Drosophila melanogaster: one gene and its partners. The gene in region 3 interacts genetically with the main gene of each other region. Each region holds a gene or a part of one and is shown on either strand. Other genes may lie near its edges.

Region 1 (4,904 bases), on a different chromosome or scaffold from region 3:
TGAGACAAATAAGAACCTGCCGTACCACTAGGATGGGATGGCGTGAGAGTTCCCGGAGCAGTACAAGACACGACGCACATAGGCGATTGTTAATTATCTAACCAAATATTGTACCCATAGACATATTTTTTCAGTAAACACAATTGATTGTTGATGATAAATATTTATGTTTGTCAAAATACTGTTACCGAATGCTTCGACTGCAGTTGTCATCTACACCTTGCACTTGTACATTGCGTTGATCTTGCGCACATCTCCGGCTGAGAAGCCCTTGCGTTGACCCATCTGGCTGGCATCGGATGTGGCACGCAGTGCCTTCAACGTGGGCTGGCCATTCCGAGTGAAACTGGTGGGGGAGTAGTGCATCACACTGCCATAGTCGTATTCCACGCCGAAGCCGTACTGTGTCCTGGAACTGGACTTCTCGAAGTTGACCATCATCTCGGGCTTGATGTTGTCCTTCATCACGCGCACATAGGAGTCACGTTCGTGACGATTCTGCTCATGGAAGAAGCCCAGGGCGTGCATCAGCTCGTGAATGGGAGTGCCGTATGTACGCAAGCAGTTGGGCGACTGCAGATTCACTTCCTGGCGACCACCTAAGCGCCCAATGCTACTCCAGCAGCCAGACTTTCCGCTACCAATGGAGATGTAATCCTTTTCGGTGGTCCTGGGCTTGAAGCGCACGCATGTTTTGGTGTGGTATTCCTAAGATACAAAATCTTATTTGTAAATTGTAATAGGGACTATTACTGAAACCTCACCTTAAAAGCGTGGTTAATATTCCCCAATTCCTGGCTGGTAAAAGGACCTTTGATCTCGTAGGGCACAACGCCGCCCGGCCAGCGGGAACTCAGCGCCAAAATGCCATTACGAGTGCCATTGAATCGGGCGTCCCTGTAGCTCAGTGGAATCAGGATGTCACCTTCGTGGTAGGTTCCCAGCTCCTCGGGATTCAGCGGGGATTCCACACCGAGTGCCTCAACCAAAGCTCCAGTCGTCTCCACGTCCGGATTACCGAACAGAGTATCTCCAAGATCTGTCAAGTCAATCATTTCCTGGGAGTCCATATCCTCCAGGGGCATGGAATCTCCCAGAGAAATGCCCAGTATAATCAGTAGCAAAAGCGAACCAGTATTATTTTGCGATTTGCCCATTTTGCTAATTCCCCAACTGCTGTGATTTCTAACCAGGCTTACCCACATTATATAGTCCCACCTAGACCTCCAAAAATTGACGACATGTTGTCGGTGCTGCCTGTTTATGCTGAGTTCTCTTTGAAACGATAAGTCGGCGCTTTGTGGCCGTTTACATTTACATTAAGTACGTAGTTGCTATCCGCCGGCTTCTTGATTTATGGGGAATTTACTTTTATGCATTCCGACTTGAAAATATGTGCAGTGCGGAATTTTCGCAAGTTAAGATTTGCGGTATTATAAAAGGTTTATTCTATTTGGATTATGATGATGTAGGTCACAACTTACAAAACCCATAACTGCCGTTGGTAATTTAAGTGAAGTTTACGTTTTCATGTTCCCGCCATAAATTAAACTTTACTATGCTCGTGTATTTTGGAATGTCACCTAGACATACACACGATATTAATTGATATATTGAATAGTTATATCAGTAAAGTTTTATGAAAATGTAATTAACGGTTTAATTCTTGTGCGAAATCAATTCAAGAACAAAATATTTTTTTTGTACATATTGTACCACTGTGCAACTTGAATATCAGTGTGGCCATGCATGTTGACTCTATATCAAAATCCAGCCAAACCTAGCCAAGCGGACTGGTCACACTGCACCATATATAAGCCCACGAAACGGATATCGCCGATTCAAACGGTCGAACATTTTTCTTGCTGCTCGTACGTACGTTTTATTGGTTGCTCGCGCTCGTAACGTTTTTTTCGCCCCGTTTTGGCCAATGTGTGTGCGCGCGCGTGTGTGTGTGCTGCTTGCAGTTCAAAAGGGCAGCGACAACAACAAGAACAGCGCACCTCTCTTTTAAGCCAAGTCTTCGGCGCTCGTATGTGTGTGTGTGTGTTGGTGTGATTCAGAATCGTGGCCTGGGAAGAAATGGCAAATTAGTTGGCTCAAAGTGGAATCTCTGTGCTCAATATTCAAATTCAGGCTAGAAAGTGTCGCGTGCGAAAGTTTGCAAATAATACAACTAGCAGAAAAAGAGGAATATAACTTAAAAAAAATAAAAATAACCTGTTCTAAGCCAAGTGCCGATTGCGCGCGTGTGTGTGTGTGCGTATGAGTGTTTGCGTGGAGCAGAGAGAAGGGAGAATGCAATTACCAACAACAACAAGCTCAATGAGTATCGTTTGAATAGCAATAATATCTAGCCAAAAGCAACCCTTTCCAATACGAAAACTCGACTTGAGCCAACAAATCAGCGATCATGGCTAAAATCGCCAATGCGTCACTGTCGCAACAACAAAAACAGCGGCAAGCAGAAACAGCAACGACCACAACAACAACAGTGGCGGCATCAGTAGAAACAGCAACAACAACAGCAAGAAGTCGAGACCGCACGAAAAGCGCAGCTCAAATTACGTCGCATTTGCTCAAGCGCGCCATTTCAGTTTATTCGTCGCCTCAATGGATACCGCTCTTCATACTTATTTACTTAGCAACAGGTGAGAGAGAACCCTGAGAGGGAGCTAGCGAGTGAGTGAGAGGGAGGGCGATAGGCAGTCGAGGACATTCAGGAGGAGAGAGCGAAGATGGGGACATGAGAGAGCAACACGGTGTTTACGCGGTTCTTAAGCTACAGTGATCACTCCACAGCACTGAACTTGCCCGTTATAAATTATTAAAATGTATATTAGATGCCCATTTTAAATGGAATTTGTAATGTTGTTATTGTGTTTAAGCCTTTGGCTGCTCATATGATTAATGAGTTAATGAGATTGAGTTACGGAAGTCACACTGTAAATAATTTATATGATGAGCCACATGCATTCTTTAGCTTAAACATTTGCTGATGTTTCAAAAGCTCGTAATCGAAAAAAAAGAGCAACAGGTCATGTGTGTGTGTGGTGGGGCATTCGTGTGTTTTGGGGATGTTGACCAAGTCATGTTGGGTAAAAGGAATTTGGATTTTCAATGATTTCGGGCCTACGAAAAACTCGTTCAACGGGTTTTCCTTCAAGAAGTGACTCATGGAGCTGGCTTACCTGAAGTTTGATTGTGTTAATTATACACTCATTTCTAATTTTTGATGATTGTGTGCTCGGTCTTATCTTGCAAACAAAAGGAATGCTTAGAAATGTATTAGCTTCGATTGCGTATAAATTTATATTTAGTAGAGTACAACTTTAGTCGCTGAGAGAGATAATTAATCAAATTATAGCTTCAAAGGCGGTTAATGTTAGCAATCTTGGCCAAGAAGAATTAATTACTGAAACCAGAAGAGATATTTTAACGTGACCCGCATTTTTTACACACTGTAGCTTACAAATGGATATCATATTTTTAGGTAAATAACAGGGAATCGTAACAAATTATTGTTTCTGCATTTGTTGATACTGGTGCGATTTTTTGGTAATAAAACCTCATTTGTCTGCATTTTCAAAGCGCTTTTAGCGATATCACAACAGTGAAATCTGTGAAACTTATCGCATAACGATCATAATAATTGATTCACAACTCTTGCTGACTCATTATGTGTAATTTTCTGTTACATGTTGTCCGCGGCTCAATTGTTTGGCTGGCTTAGCATTGTCTGCCCCCTTTTTCCAACGGATTGTGCAAAAACGACCTCAAAAATTGGGTCTATTTATTTACAATTCGAGTACCAACCCTCCAAACGGCCAGCCATCCGGCTGTTGTTACGCGCAATCTTATCTTTTGGCCGGAAAGTGAAGTACAACAGTTGCAAAAGCGCGGCCAACTCAACGTCAGCAATACCGCAATTCCGTTGATAGGTTGATAAGAAGAACACTCAGGAGAAGGGAGCACAGATAGAGAAAGAGTTTTCCAACTCGAAGTAGGGAAAGCCCTGGAGTGCAGCGAAAACATAGTAAACCAGTTTATCAGCTCTTGAAGCTAATAGTAAACAAATTTTCAGCTTAATAATTAAAAAAAATCCAAACGAGTGAAAAGCCCTAATAAAGAGCTATAATTCATTCATTTCCATGAACACATTTTCTTTTAATTGTAAAGAACCAACCTCTCTATAGGCCCTGTATTTTCGTATACCTTTTATCGTAGAATTTATCAAATGACTTTGGTTTATGATTGACAAGGAAAACCGACGAATAAAAAGAAGAGAAAATGAATGTCTGGGCTGGGAAATCCCTGAAAGGCATCACAGCAACTGGTTTATGGCAGCTTCCATCGTAAAATCCAGACACCGACAGCGAAGATCATCAGCGTCATCTTCACTTCGAGAGTGGTTTCTGTACGGCTTTCGTTTGAATTTCCGCCCTAAACAGATATAATCCATCATTTTCAGGGGAAAAATCGCGGCACAGGTATACTAGGCACGCTGGAAAAGTGGAGGGAAAACACAAATGAACCGAAACTACCTGCATTGCGTTAACGATAACAACACGTGACCCCGCGAGTTTATGGAAATTCTCTGGCACGTACATAAATGAAAATCGAGAATGGAATGGAAATTGTACGCTGGACACACCCGCGTTCTCCGCTCTCCGGTGTCCGGTGTTTCAACCTGGTCAAGTGTTAAAGTGCAATCGGCCGTGACGCGGGTCGTGGGCCATGTTCCGTGGGCCTACGCAGCCGGCCGCGACCATTGCCTGACGTTGGCCATTAGTGCAAGTCGTTAGCCAGGTCTATAAAAATAGCCAGAGTATAACTGAAAAAGAACTGATTTGCCCCAGTCCTTTAAAGGTTAGGGCGTACTTTACTACCCAGTACTTAGTGGG
Region 2 (7,491 bases), on a different chromosome or scaffold from region 3:
TTCATATCGTGATCTTTCGATTTGCAACTAAAACAACTAAAGCACGCCTCATGTTTTAGATAATCAATATATACGAATAGTTTTGGTTTGATATTAATTGCTGCTAATCAAGTGAAATGTGCGCAGAAACACACTGACTTTATTATAATATTTCTATTTCTTATATTTTGCAGATTGCAGCACAAAAACAATAAAGAGTTCAGACGATAATATCCTGGAAAGAAAACATTTCGTTTCGATAAGTACGACAAGACACGAAACAACAAAATGTCTCCAAAAGCGGTAAGTTAACCAATAACTATAAAATAATAAATAATTAGTACTGATTAGACAGTATTATAATAAGTTCGAAATATTCCATTATAATGGTAACCATATATCACTGGAATGAAACCACAAACGAATCTGATAAAACAAATGTTTTGCACTAGCGCCTAGTAAATTATTAAAGATTAGTTATATTAAATCACAACGAAAAGTTTGTCAGCTATCAGCTATCGGAAATTGTGTTCTTATCAAGAGAGCACTTCAGCTACAATTGTCGTCAATTGTGGAGTGTTGGGATCGCATCGCATCTTTTAATAGAACTTCTTCTGGGGGGGAATGGGGATGGCCAGGCGAAGACGTCATATTGGCCCAACTGTTGACGTTGGTAATTGTATTTGATTCTTGGACATTTGCCAAAAAAAATTTCATCATTTCATCAGATACGCAGACGGCGAAAAATTGGATTAGAAGACGACGTCATTGATATGAACACATGAGTAGATCATTATTTCATACCAAAGCATTTGCCAATTTCTTTTTGACATGTTGTGATTTCTTTTTTTTTTTTTTTGGCAACCGGAAAAGTTCTTATCTCACCCAGCGATGGTCTAATGACATTTTTGCCTCAACTTGATTGTTAATGAATGATGTATTTGTTATGAGTTCATCATGACAATCAAACACGTGATTTGAAGTGATTTTATAATACAATTTGGATGATTGAAAGGTGATTTTTGCACAAAGCTTTAAGAAGTCGTTTGCCTTTTAGGGAAATTTCTCTGTTCCAATGCAGTAGTCGATGCACATCGTGCTTGAATGGTTTCTCCATAACTTTCCCTTTTTCGCTATAGTTTTTCTCATCCATAACTAGATGTTTATTGGTCTGTTTGAATAGCTTGATATGTGAGTGCGGAGTGGGGAGGGGGGAGGGGTTTAATTGCTATTTGAGGCCCAAAAGCGGCATCAATAAAACAGAATTGACAGCCAACGCGTCGTATGATTGACGCTGATTTGTTTGCCTACCTTGGGGCTGCGTTTCTACGGCGCTCTCTCGTGCTCTTCGGCGCACAGCGCTGGCCAAATGACTAGTGTTCAAACTAAAAATTAGCTAACTATACAGCTAATTCAATCAATAATTCATTTAGAGAATTGGTTGTGTTTTGATTTATATATATATTTTTTAAATATATTTTACCATATTGCACTATTTACTTGACCCCCATTGCATTCACATACTTCTCTCGTTCTGGAAAACCCATTTGACCTCTATGGTCAGCAGTTCTTTTCTTTATGGTTGCGGCTGTCCACTTTTAGATGCATAATTAACATGCAATTTATATTAACTTGACAACGAATGACTGGGATAAAAATTTTCCCATTTTCTTGGGCAGAAATTAAGTTCATTTTGTGTTGTGTTGTGTGTTCCCTTAGCGTTTCTTTTGCGTTCTGCCGCCGCCGCCGCTTTCCCAGTGTTGTTTTTTGTTTTTCTTCTCTTCTAGCATTTATTTTCCTTTTGCCTTTTGCGCTTGTCTTCCCCATTTGGCGACTTAAAAACGTGCCGTGACTTTTCCATTTTCCTCAGTTGCCGCTGGACAACAGAATCGAATCGTCGCTTTTCCGCTTTTAACCATCGTGTCGCGTTGGTCGGTTGGTTTTCCCGCGTAGCTTGTGGCTGCTCAAGAATATATATATATTTCCCAGACGGAGATTTGCATTGAAAAGGCGTAATAATTCAAAAGCTACTGCGCAATCCGTTTTCGGTGCCCAAAATGGTCGTCGTCTCCGACAGCCGCGTCCGTTTGCCGCGTTACGGCGGAGTCAGCGTCAAACGGAAAACGGTACGGACCACACTGCTCACTATTTTCCACGTTTTTCCTGCTAAGCTGGAAAAGCGCATCCCCCTTTTCTTTTTTTTTTTTTTCATGTGCTGCACTTTTGTGGTTTCAAGTCAAAAACCATTTTTTTTTCTTTTTTAAAAACTGGTTATTATGCTCCAACTTCCGTTGCAAATAGCTGTTGTGTTTTTCATTCTCAGCGGCCAGGGGGAGAAAAAAACAAAGCAGAAACCACGGTGGTTGCATTAACCCAAAAACGTTAATTGGATTGAAATGAAAAACGTTTTCAATTTCCTAACATTGTGTCACGTTTGATTTGCATTCAGCAGCCGAAAGCGAAAACAAAACAATGAGCCCTCGGACTGAAAAGCAAAACCGAGCCAAACAAAATGATGAAGTTAAAAAATTTTAATTTGTTGGGTCTACCACACATTGTTTTTTCCCATGCCCAGAAAATGGTAACAAAAACCAGCGGATTTTCAAAGGGCCTTTAAAACTGAAATTGGTTCAATCAATCTTAACAGATAGGAAATAAAATAGTTTAAAAAAATTTGTAGCTGATTTAGGTATTTAGCAAAATTCCTTTGTATATTTCAATAAAGTAAAGGAATATTTTAAACGAATGGTTTTTAATGTAAGACTTACATTTGTTGGCCATGTTGTAAAAAGCGAACTGAATTGTTAGTTATATATACTCTATTGTCTGCGCTGCATATTAACCCCAATTTTGATCTACGATCGCATTTACTTTGATCCAAATGTGGCGATTGCGCAATGGTATGTAGTGTAGTTAGTACAGGTTGACATGTGCATGTGCTGTGTGTCCGACGTTGGGTGGCGATGTGGGTGGAATTTCCCTAGCTTTTCCGCCATTTCACATTGCAAGTTGGTCAAGTGGCACGCGCAGTGGGATAGATAGCGGCTGAGCTCTCTCTTTCTATCTCTCTCTTGTATAACCACCGATTACCACTCGCTGGCCATCCGGTCTATATTCCCATACACACACACACACACACACACGCACACCCCACACCCTGTGTTTTCCCCCCACTTATTTCCACTATCTAGAGCTGCCTGGTCATTTCCAGCTTGTTGCTATTGTCATGCCTGATTGATTTTTGCTTTGCTGTTTTCCAAGCGTGATTTTTCACTGCGGCCCGCTTTCATTTTCCCTCTTTCCATTTTGCCCTCCATTTTCCCCCATTTCCCCCCATTTTTTCAAGCATTTTTCACCCATTTGAAACGTGTGTGTGCGCGCGTTTAAGTCGAAAGCCCGACTTATGCAAGTCGTGGCAATCGAATCCAATCCTCCAAAGCGAAACGGGAGCTCTTGGCACGTGCCCTGCTCACATCCCGTTAATCCATCGACCCCTAAACAAATCGTGGGGGATTCTCCTCTGCACGCCACCTTCATCGATGGGTGTCAATTTTTTACTCTTTTTTTTTTCTATTTGGCTTGTGAGCATGCCCAGTTAGTTTGATCTAGTTAGCTTTTCATGTCATGGATGATGGCACTTTTAACTTAAGAAATGCAGCAAAAGAAACAAATAAGTTACATTTAATTAATAAAACATTCTGTTTGATTCATTCGTTTTTAGTTTGCCTTCTAAAGGCAATGCTTTGTTCTTTTATATATATATATATATATATATTTTTGCGTTATTTTAATCATTTAATACGATATTTTTTTAATATCACGACATCCCTTACTAATTTCAGCTAAATGTGCGCGTCACGACAATGGACGCGGAACTGGAGTTCGCCATTCAGTCGACGACGACGGGCAAGCAATTGTTTGACCAGGTGGTGAAGACGATCGGCCTGCGAGAGGTTTGGTTCTTTGGACTCCAGTACACCGACTCCAAGGGCGACTCCACATGGATCAAGCTGTACAAAAAGGTAGGCGACTATAAATTTCATACAAATAAAGTTTGAAGTTTATAGTTCAAAAGAATATAAATTTAAATTATTTACTAAGATTGCATGTACATCATAATATTTATAAATGTAATGTATGGTACATACATAATATAGCCCGAATCGCCGGCCATAAAGACAATAAAATATTTAAAGCGTGTAAAGAAGTATGTGGACAAAAAGACAGCCGACAGCAATGGAGTAAATCATTTAGAGACGAGCGAAGAGGATGACGACGCCGATGATATGGTGGGCAGAGATCGAGAATATATTTATATATATATATATATGCCAATCCAGCAAAGTACATCCACAAAAAGTCCCAGCTAGAACATAAACCGAATTATCCTGTAAAATGCCAATTCTATAATTGTATTGTATCGCCTCGCCTTCGAATGCTTAGCTTAAGTTAATTAGCGATTGTTAGAGACTTGATTTACTAATACAAATGCAATCTCTGTATATGATTTAATGCTGCACCACAACAACAAACAGACTGGATCAATGCCGTTTTCGACATGGGTAACACTCAGACGCCGCATGCACTTTTTTATCTATGATATTATGTTTATTATTTCATTATTGAATCGGGAAAACCAAACGTTTTTTTTTTTTTCGTATACAAATCCATTTGCAGTTTGTAAACTTTAGCGTGCATTCGCATCTAATAGTGATATGTTTTCGCTTTTCACAGGTGATGAACCAGGACGTGAAGAAGGAGAATCCCTTGCAGTTTAGGTTCCGTGCCAAATTCTATCCCGAGGATGTGGCCGAGGAGCTGATCCAGGACATTACACTGCGTCTGTTCTACCTGCAGGTGAAGAATGCCATACTGACCGACGAGATCTATTGTCCGCCAGAGACATCCGTGCTGCTCGCCTCGTACGCCGTCCAGGCGCGTCATGGTGACCACAATAAGACCACCCACACAGCCGGCTTTCTGGCCAACGATCGCCTGCTGCCGCAGCGCGTCATCGACCAGCACAAGATGTCCAAGGACGAGTGGGAGCAGTCGATTATGACCTGGTGGCAGGAGCATCGCAGCATGCTGCGCGAGGATGCCATGATGGAGTATCTGAAGATCGCCCAAGACCTGGAGATGTACGGCGTTAACTACTTTGAGATCCGCAACAAGAAGGGCACGGATCTTTGGCTGGGCGTAGACGCACTGGGTCTGAACATTTACGAGCAGGACGATAGGTTGACGCCGAAAATTGGTTTCCCATGGTCCGAGATTCGCAACATTTCGTTCTCGGAGAAGAAGTTCATCATCAAGCCGATCGACAAGAAGGCTCCGGACTTTATGTTCTTTGCGCCACGTGTCCGCATCAACAAGCGCATTCTGGCCCTCTGCATGGGCAACCACGAGCTGTACATGCGTCGCCGCAAGCCGGACACCATCGATGTGCAGCAGATGAAGGCGCAGGCGCGCGAGGAGAAGAATGCCAAACAGCAGGAACGGTTAGTACGGATTTCAAGTCATGTCTGTTTGAATGAATCAAAACTTTGGGAATTTCAACGAAATACAACGTTTCAATGACCCGAAACATAATGATTCGAGCATATCATTTCCATGAGAGTCTGATTCATGCACAGGCTATAATCTGCAAGCAGATGATTCCCTTCTTATTTTCGGTGTTCTTTCGTTTTTGCAGTGAGAAGCTGCAGCTGGCGCTGGCCGCACGCGAACGCGCTGAAAAGAAGCAGCAGGAGTACGAGGATCGGCTAAAGCAGATGCAGGAGGACATGGAGCGTTCGCAGCGCGATCTGCTTGAGGCGCAGGACATGATCCGCCGGCTGGAGGAGCAGCTGAAGCAGCTGCAGGCCGCCAAGGATGAGCTGGAGCTGCGCCAGAAGGAGCTGCAGGCGATGCTGCAGCGCCTCGAGGAGGCCAAGAATATGGAGGCCGTCGAGAAGCTCAAGCTCGAGGAGGAGATCATGGCCAAGCAGATGGAGGTGCAGCGCATTCAGGACGAGGTCAACGCCAAGGATGAGGAGACAAAGCGTCTGCAGGACGAAGTGGAAGACGCCCGACGCAAGCAGGTCATTGCGGTACACTTTTTTCACTATTTGTTGGCATCGAAAAAACCAATGAATATAGTCTTGATACCATTTTGTGTTCAACTTTATACTGAACATTGTCGTTTTTGTAGGCTGAAGCCGCTGCCGCTCTGCTGGCCGCGTCGACAACGCCGCAGCATCACCACGTGGCCGAGGATGAGAACGAGAACGAGGAGGAGCTGACGAACGGCGATGCCGGTGGCGATGTGTCGCGCGACCTGGACACCGACGAGCATATCAAGGACCCCATCGAGGACAGACGCACGCTGGCCGAGCGCAACGAACGCTTGCACGATCAGCTCAAGGTGGGTTCGAAATCGAGTCCCTTATGCTCCACTCAACTAACAATATCAATTTGATATATATATATATCTATATCTAGGCTCTGAAACAAGATTTGGCGCAGTCTCGCGACGAGACGAAAGAGACGGCAAACGATAAGATTCATCGCGAGAACGTTCGCCAGGGACGTGACAAGTACAAGACGCTCCGCGAGATTCGTAAGGGCAACACAAAGCGTCGCGTCGATCAGTTTGAGAACATGTAAAAGCTATCAAAGATCAGAGATCGATAGTGCGCGGGAAAGAGAGAGGGAGCGGTGAGACTCCAGAAAGAAAAAGAAAAAGATATAACTACAGCAAGAGCAGATAATAATAATGATGATTGATAATGATGAAGATGATGATGAAGAATAAGCAACAAATATAATTCCGGTCGCTGGCAAAAGCCTATTGCTAACTATCCCACCAGCGACGACCCTTTTCCACCCATAAGAACACTTCCTGCCTCCTAAAGTGAATTGAAATGAAATATACTTTGTTTGACCGTCGTTTTGTCTCGCAGCTTTTGTATAGAAGAATCAAGAATAAGCAAAAAGAAAAAAAGAAAAAATAAATTAATGGAAACTAATTTAGCCGGACACAGCACTCATCAATATGAATAGAATGAGAAGACGGTTAGGAAGGACCGCATCTATATGGACAATCAGCAAATGAATGAGGATCAAGCTATCGGAAAATATGTCTAAATCCAAGCAGAAGCAATAGAAAATATACATTTCTCCTTTTCCCAATGGATTCATTGAGAAAACGGAACGAATAGTAATAGATATTGAAAAGGAACATCAGCAACAATAAACAACAACAACATCAACAACAACAAGAACAGCTACTACAACAAAACAAACAACTATTTGCATTTTCCCCCGTTATAATTATTATTTTTATTATTATATAATTACTATTTTTTTTAAATTTGTATAATTAAATAAGAACTTGATTAATTGTTTCTTAAATTAACTTGAGAGAGAGCAACAAACAAAAAGAGAAAAAATATATTATATAAAATATTTTTCTTTAATCTATTTTTGTTTTGCAAGAAAAGAAAGATTCTTAAAAAAAATGAGAAAACA
Region 3 (6,839 bases):
TTGACCACAGAGTAGAGTCAACACTAGTGTGCCATAAACTTCGAGGTCCTCCTTAATCACGGCCAGCACATGATTGCTCTTCAGACTGTTCTCAAAGACGCTAAGCTCAGTGGGATTCGCTTGCGGATTTCTGTAAAACGGGACATCGCTTGGTTGGAGATAATTTTCCTTTTCTGGTGTTACAACTTCAGGCAGTGATACCTCATCATTCTCTTCGGTTTCAATTGCAACTTCAGACTCCTTCTTTGGGGGCACACTGCTTAAGTTTTTTACAACAATATCCATAACACTTGACTGTTCAATACGTTCTTGCTTTTTTTCCACAGGCGGATCGTCGAAGATTTCCTCTATAATAAGCGGCTCTCTTTGCATACCCACAGGTGGATGATCGAAGAATCCCTCAATGTCAGGTGGCTCATAAGTTGAATCGAGGTCGTCGGTGTCGAAGATATCGCTTCCGAATTCTTCACTATCGCTGTCACTAACATCCTCCATATCGCTATATTCACTGTAGAAATCTCCATCACTATCATAGTCTGCGCTGCTTGTGTCTTCACTGTCAGACTCTTCGCTGTCAAATTCCTCCGATCCAAAGTCATCGCTATCTTCTGGCTCATAATCAATGTCATCTTCGTCGCTGTCAGTTTCTTCCTGTGCACTTTTAAATACCTTAATCTTTCGAACTGTTCCACTGCCATCCCCATCCAACAAAAGAGGTTGGTATTCATCGTGTTCAAAAGGAGGAAGAATATCTGATAACTTGTATTCGGGGCCTTTGCATTTGACCTTAAAAATCTTTGGATCTTTAAGAAATGTCTCGTCTATTTCTTCAACTACATCGTTTTCAGAGTCTAAAAAACATAGTTTAAGTTAAGAAACAAGAGTAATATTAAAAATTCCTTACCACTTTCAATTAAATAATCGTCTTCTTCACTCCAATCATCCAATGAATTCATTTCAATGTCACTTGTTTCCGCTGCAGTACCAATTATCTCTACTACTTTACCATTTTGTACGACCTTCATTGAGCTCTTGTTTCCATTTACCTTATGTTTCTTAGATAAACTTGCTTCTTTTGTTTTATTTGGCGTCTTGACTTTGGTTTTCTTAGGAGCTAATTCTGAAAAATACATATATATTAAAATAAAATGAGGTTGTAATTCTGGATCTAATGCATACCATTTATACTATGAACCTTGGGAATAGGAAGCTTAGCACTTTTGCTTGTTGCTGCAGATTTTTTAGCTGCAACATTTGAGGATTTATTTACAGGATTCTTTTTGGGTAGGGTATTATCCTTTTTAAGCCTCTTCTGGGATGGTGAACTGTCTGGATTCGACACATTATTGGAAAGAGGTCTCTTTGCGCCGGCTGTCTTATTTTTCTTGGATTTTTTGGGCGACTCCATCTGGGCTTTTTGAATCATTGTTTCCGAAATCTTTGCAGGATTGCTGGCCACCTTTGAAATAACTTTTTTCTTTGGAACAGCAGGTGGGTGTTGTGGTTTTTCCGGCTTACGGCGACCAGAGGCTAGTTCTCGCTGTTCGGTGAGCTGGAAGCTCAGTTTCATTTCTTTCAGAATATGTTCGTCAAGCATTCCTTTTCAGTTTTTTGCTGAACTACCAATACTTCCCGGGCCATGCGACCGCAAATTTAAGAAGAAGAGCAAGAATAACATATGTGCGGTGTTACCAGTCGTGGTCGGTCATGGGAATAACGCGCACAGAGTTGCCATCGATGAGAACTATCGATTGGGTTAATAACAGCCCTGCGCTCGAAGGCGTTGGTTGGTCATCGAGCGTTCATCCCGCTACCGAGAAATGAAACGGATGAACATTGTTCATCGTCATTTTGCATGGGAAAAAATCGTCGAGTTCAATTCGAATTTTTGTAATTGCATTAACTTTTATACGATATAGCTAAACGGTAGACGCATAAGAATCAACAAATTTGTGCCATTTTGTAAGCAAATTAAGTGTCGAATTCGTGCTGAGTGTTGTGAAATCACCAATATAAATTGTAAGTGGCCGAAAGAGCAGAAGTGAAAAAATTCCACACAGCACGCACACAAATGCACGCACGCCCAGCCAGAGGCGAACAGACACACGCACACACACACACACACAGCCATACCGAGAGTGGATGATGAGATGTTTTTGGAATAAAGTGTGAGCGGGACGGGCGCGGAGAGAGGAGTTTCCTGGAGTGTTGGAGAGAGGGGTGGAGAAGCGGGCGGCCCTATGACGCGACCAAAATGAAAATGCGAATGCGAAAAACCGTAAAGAAAAACGGGAAAAACTCGGCTAACGGACAATGGACAATGGCCAGATAAGAAAGAACCCCACACTTTATACTATTAGATCGCCGTCCAGCCGCAAGTATGACTAAGTGTGTGCGCGAGCGGGAGAGGGCTATCGGAAAAGAGAGCGAGCGCGCGAGTGTATTTGTGCTGTGTGTCCACCAGTGTGCGTGTGACTGTATGCGAGTGTGTGTGTGGCTTTTTCATTTTGATAATTTTTTGAACAGGCGCTCGTTCAGTTTTCGCGAATATATAAAACAGAACGGCTGACTCGGATTCGGAATCGAAAATTGTATTCGGATTCAGAATCGGACTCGGAATCCTCGGGCATCCGCTGCACTTGCATTGCATCTAGCTACAGTTTGATTTTGCCTTTTGCAGAACTTCCAATGACGACGATTCGCAAGAAATTGGTAATTGTCGGCGACGGTGCCTGCGGTAAAACTTGCCTTCTGATTGTCTTCAGCAAAGATCAGTTCCCCGAGGTCTATGTGCCCACCGTATTCGAGAATTATGTGGCCGACATCGAGGTGGATGGCAAACAGGTAAGCCCCTTTTCCCGGACAGGCCCGCCCCTCCCCTAACTACCCGTCCCGTCCACCACTCTGAATGCCACCCCCAACCGGTGGCTGACCCCCCTCCCCTGATAACCCCACCCTGCCATCCAAGTGATAATCGTCTGATCTCGTTTTATAATTTGTGTGCATTCTCAATTCATTCCGTTTTTCAAGTGCGCGTATCCTCCTTACACTTTCCACCCGCCTCTGTGTGTGTGTGTGTGTGTGTGTGTGTGTGTGCGGGTGTGTGTTCCCATGGGTGTGTGTTTATTGTTCTCTTGTTTGTGCCACCCACAACTTCACCCACACCTTGGTCGTTGTATTTCCTTTTCTTCGCCTGTAAAATGAAATGAGTCAATATCGCCTCATGCCCACAGACGCATCCATAAATAAAGGTGTCTGGAAAAGCAAAAGAAAAATTAAGATCATTTTTGGTTAAGTGGAGTGCAAATTTGGATTTTTCCGAAGAATTCAAAGTTTTGATAGCAGTGATTAAGTCACACTTGGGCACATTTCCCCACACTTACACGCACACATGCTCAACAGAGAGTTGGCAGCACACACACACACACAGAAGTAGTGCTGCTCCCTTCCTTCCGCTCGTTTTCTTTTCTTTTTATTTTGTATTTGTCTTATACAAGTCCGTTGCGCACATACAGTTTAATGCGTTGCGCCGCCCCCCGCTCTTTCTGCTGCTCTCTCGGGCGCTCTCACTCTTACTCTTTCTCCCTGCCTACCTGTACTCTCTTCTAAGGGGGGGGAGCGCTCTCCCGCTCCACCGCGCACTCCCTTACTCTATGGAATGTAATGTGCGTTTTCCATTGGGGCATCAAGTCATGATTTGGCTATATGTTCGTTCATATATTCCATTTGGGATCTACAGTATTTTCAGGCGCTTTTTTTCGAAATAAACACTGTGTGTTTGCCTTTGCTGCGCAATATGGCGGGTTTTCAATTTTCAGTTTCTGTTTGTGTTTCTGTTTGGATAGCGTTTACATACACACAAGTTCACGTCATTCCACTTCGCCTCGCTTCGATGTGATTAATTCGTTTGGCATTTCCGTCAAGTTCCTTGCTCACACTCTCGTACTCGCACTCATGCTATCTTCAACTCGAACTTGTCCCATTCTCCTCCGAGCCCGCATCGCACCGTCCCGTGCCACAAAAAGCCCCATCTATCTATAACCCTGACGACACCGCAACTGCAAGCGTAACTCTCAATCATAATCCGCATCCGATTCTCCAGGTGGAGCTGGCCTTGTGGGATACGGCCGGGCAGGAGGACTACGACAGACTACGACCGCTGAGCTATCCCGACACTGACGTCATACTGATGTGTTTCTCAGTGGATTCACCCGATTCGCTAGAAAATATTCCTGAAAAATGGACCCCAGAGGTGAGTTTAACTGGAATTACAGAACAGTTTCTATCAGACGATCGTAAACAAGTATGGTACTATATATATATATACTATACGGAACTAACAAGTCTAGACAAAATATGTTTTTAATTTTTATGTAATGATGCAAATTTGGAAAAAGTTGAACTTTTAACTCCAGTTAAAATATATTAAACATTTTTGAAGTTATCGAATGCATTTGCTTATGATATGGAATCTTTAAGACTATGCATCTCTGTGTTCTTGTTTATGTCATTGAAGCTATCTGAAAGACTGGTTTTGGTTTAGAACGAGGAAAGTTTAATAGAATTGTTGGTTATTTCTAGTTTAATCACTAAAAATAGTCTGCTATGAGCCAATTTGCTTTGACTTTCTGAATCATTTCCTTACTTCTCAGCCTTTAATTTATAATGATAGATATAGATAAGAAGAAAGTAAGTGGTTCCCAATTACGAATTACTTGTTTTTGCAGTTCGACTATATGGAATCTGATATCAAAATATGATACTAATCCTTACTACATTATTGCAGGTCAAACACTTTTGTCCAAATGTTCCAATCATTTTGGTAGGAAATAAGAAAGATTTGCGAAATGATCCCAACACAATTCGGGTACGTATACGCGCTGTTGAACGAGGTGAACTTGCAGCACTAAACTAAACTTGATTTTACAGGATCTAGCAAAAATGAAGCAGGAGCCGGTGAAGCCGCAGGAGGGTCGCGCCATGGCCGAGAAGATTAATGCCTTTGCCTATTTGGAGTGTTCGGCTAAGTCCAAGGAGGGTGTGCGAGATGTTTTCGAGACGGCAACTAGGGCCGCGCTGCAAGTCAAAAAGAGGAAGAAGACCAGATGCCTTTTGCTCTAAAAGAGCAAATCAACAACATGAAAATCTTTACCACACACACACACAGCAAAAACAACAGCATAAACACACACAAACACACATACACACCTTTTACAACAATAACGAGCTGAACAACAACCACTCAACAACAACATCAAGAACAACCAGAACATCGGATACACGAAGCTGCACCACCACCCAACCAGCAACAAACATGAGCAGAAAACAGAGAGCTTGAGCTAGAAGATCAGCGGAGGAGGGATGCAGCGAGATATAAGGGAAGGCAGCACCAAGTAGAATGTCAAATGCGGATTTGATTTTATATACAGTCTAGTGTAGTTATAAACCGAAGTAAACAACAGTAATAACTCTGGCATTATTATTTGTAAAAACTAGGGCAGAGCAGATCAATCAGTCAGCCACTGCAAGCAAAAAATATATATCGATATATGTAAACATATTCAAGTTGTGTCCGTTTCTGTCCACCCCCTCCTCCTAGATGTATGTTATTATTTCGTTAACTGTGTTGTCAAGTGTAGAGTCGGCTGTGGCTGGACGAGATTGTGTCGTATGCGAGGGTGAGTGAGTCAGGTGAATCAGTGGAATTAGGAACAGAATCGGAAACGGAATCGGATGTTGGATCCCGGGGTCCAAGGAGGTCGTAGGCGTCAAGATGAGAGTTATGTTCCCATTAAATCTATCAAATACAGAGAGACCAGGCCGCCAATAGGAGTTGGAAGCGAAACTACATTACAAGAGCCGAACTAAACACAAAACAAAACAAAACAAAAACGATAAATGTTTATTTAACTAAACGTAAGCCACAAATGAGATGCATTCAGTTTTCGCGTGGGAGATGCTAAGAGGGAAAATTTTTGATGAAGTGAAAAACTATTTCGAGCGCATTAAGCGAGTTTTTAATATTTGTACTTTGCATTAAAACGAGTGGAAAACATAAAAAAAAAAAGATACTACAAAACAACCAAACAACTATATGAAGAGTATTTTATGATTTTATAAAATACGATTATACATATAATTATACTATACAGTACATATGTGTATGTCTCTTTTTTTGTATTTTGTACCGTCAATCGTGTAATTCTCACACAGAAGTTGAAAAACTCGAAGATGCATCAGATACAACCAAACTATATTATACTTATGAATAAACAGTACATTTGATCTACTCTTGGTTTAACTAACTGTTTTCTTATTTGGCCGGGCATCGAATTTTATTAGGCTAAGATAATGGATTTAAATCCGGGGAATACCCGCCCTTTAAAGTCAAAACACTTATCTTTAACGGGGTTAAAAAAATCTTTATTGAGGGTATTGTTTTTGTTTATTTTGTGCTTTTGTATTTAATTTTTTTTTTTACATTTAAAATGTACATAACATTATGAATCAAAATGTTTTGGTTTTTCATCGATTAGGTATTAGGTTTCACAATATTATTCCCGAACAGGTATGTCGTTTTCGAAACAACATGGACACGACACATTGCTTTGAACATCTAGTTCCCAAGCCTTTTCTCTTAAAACGTACTTTTTAATCGCTTAACTTTCGCGGCGAAAGCAATTCTATTATATTTCTACCCGCATTTGATTCGTTTTCGTGTTGGAGCTGTTGTTTTTCTTTTTTTCGTCAGTCGATCTGTTTGGTTCGAACGGTTGCAGGATTCGCAATAACAATTAATTATTAGTAATTATGGGTAGTCCATTCAACTGTTTTTTGGG

Evidence for each region. Genes that interact genetically often act in the same process or in processes that back each other up.
Region 1: of Rho1 (region 3) and crb, changing one suppresses a phenotype caused by changing the other (phenotypic suppression), as found in Drosophila melanogaster (2 studies listed by BioGRID).
Region 2: of Rho1 (region 3) and Moe, changing one suppresses a phenotype caused by changing the other (phenotypic suppression), as found in Drosophila melanogaster (3 studies listed by BioGRID).

What each region holds. Positions count from the first base shown.
Region 1 is NT_033777.3:24,293,214-24,298,117, forward strand, and holds the start of crb (crumbs), read left to right. Parts: upstream 1-1,864; 5' UTR 1,865-2,413; coding exon 2,414-2,651; intron 2,652-4,904. Other genes in the region: Uck (Uridine-cytidine kinase), read left to right, coding at 1-31; CG5715 (uncharacterized protein), read right to left, coding at 214-708, 765-1,157.
Region 2 is NC_004354.4:8,873,083-8,880,573, reverse strand, and holds Moe (moesin), read left to right. Parts: upstream 1-1,848; 5' UTR 1,849-2,036; coding exon 2,037-2,105; intron 2,106-3,412; exon of another isoform or gene 3,413-3,518; coding exon of another isoform or gene 3,519-3,560; intron 3,561-3,821; coding exon 3,822-4,001; intron 4,002-4,136; coding exon 4,137-4,268; intron 4,269-4,514; coding exon 4,515-4,541; intron 4,542-4,552; exon of another isoform or gene 4,553-4,713; coding exon 4,714-5,480; intron 5,481-5,674; coding exon 5,675-6,071; intron 6,072-6,172; coding exon 6,173-6,385; intron 6,386-6,462; coding exon 6,463-6,627; 3' UTR 6,628-6,951; downstream 6,952-7,491. UniProt on the Drosophila melanogaster protein: Involved in connections of major cytoskeletal structures to the plasma membrane. Together with wgn, involved in control of axon targeting of R8 and R2-R5 photoreceptors, independent of egr.
Region 3 is NT_033778.4:16,100,931-16,107,769, forward strand, and holds Rho1 (Rho1), read left to right. Parts: upstream 1-1,756; 5' UTR 1,757-1,962; exon of another isoform or gene 1,963-2,019; intron 2,020-2,166; exon of another isoform or gene 2,167-2,378; intron 2,379-2,535; exon of another isoform or gene 2,536-2,680; 5' UTR 2,681-2,688; coding exon 2,689-2,844; intron 2,845-4,102; coding exon 4,103-4,252; intron 4,253-4,786; coding exon 4,787-4,867; intron 4,868-4,929; coding exon 4,930-5,121; 3' UTR 5,122-6,299; downstream 6,300-6,839. Other genes in the region: CG8414 (uncharacterized protein), read right to left, coding at 1-851, 905-1,120, 1,180-1,597. UniProt on the Drosophila melanogaster protein: Has a role in regulating actin cytoskeletal organization: required during early development for proper execution of morphogenetic movements of individual cells and groups of cells important for the formation of the embryonic body plan.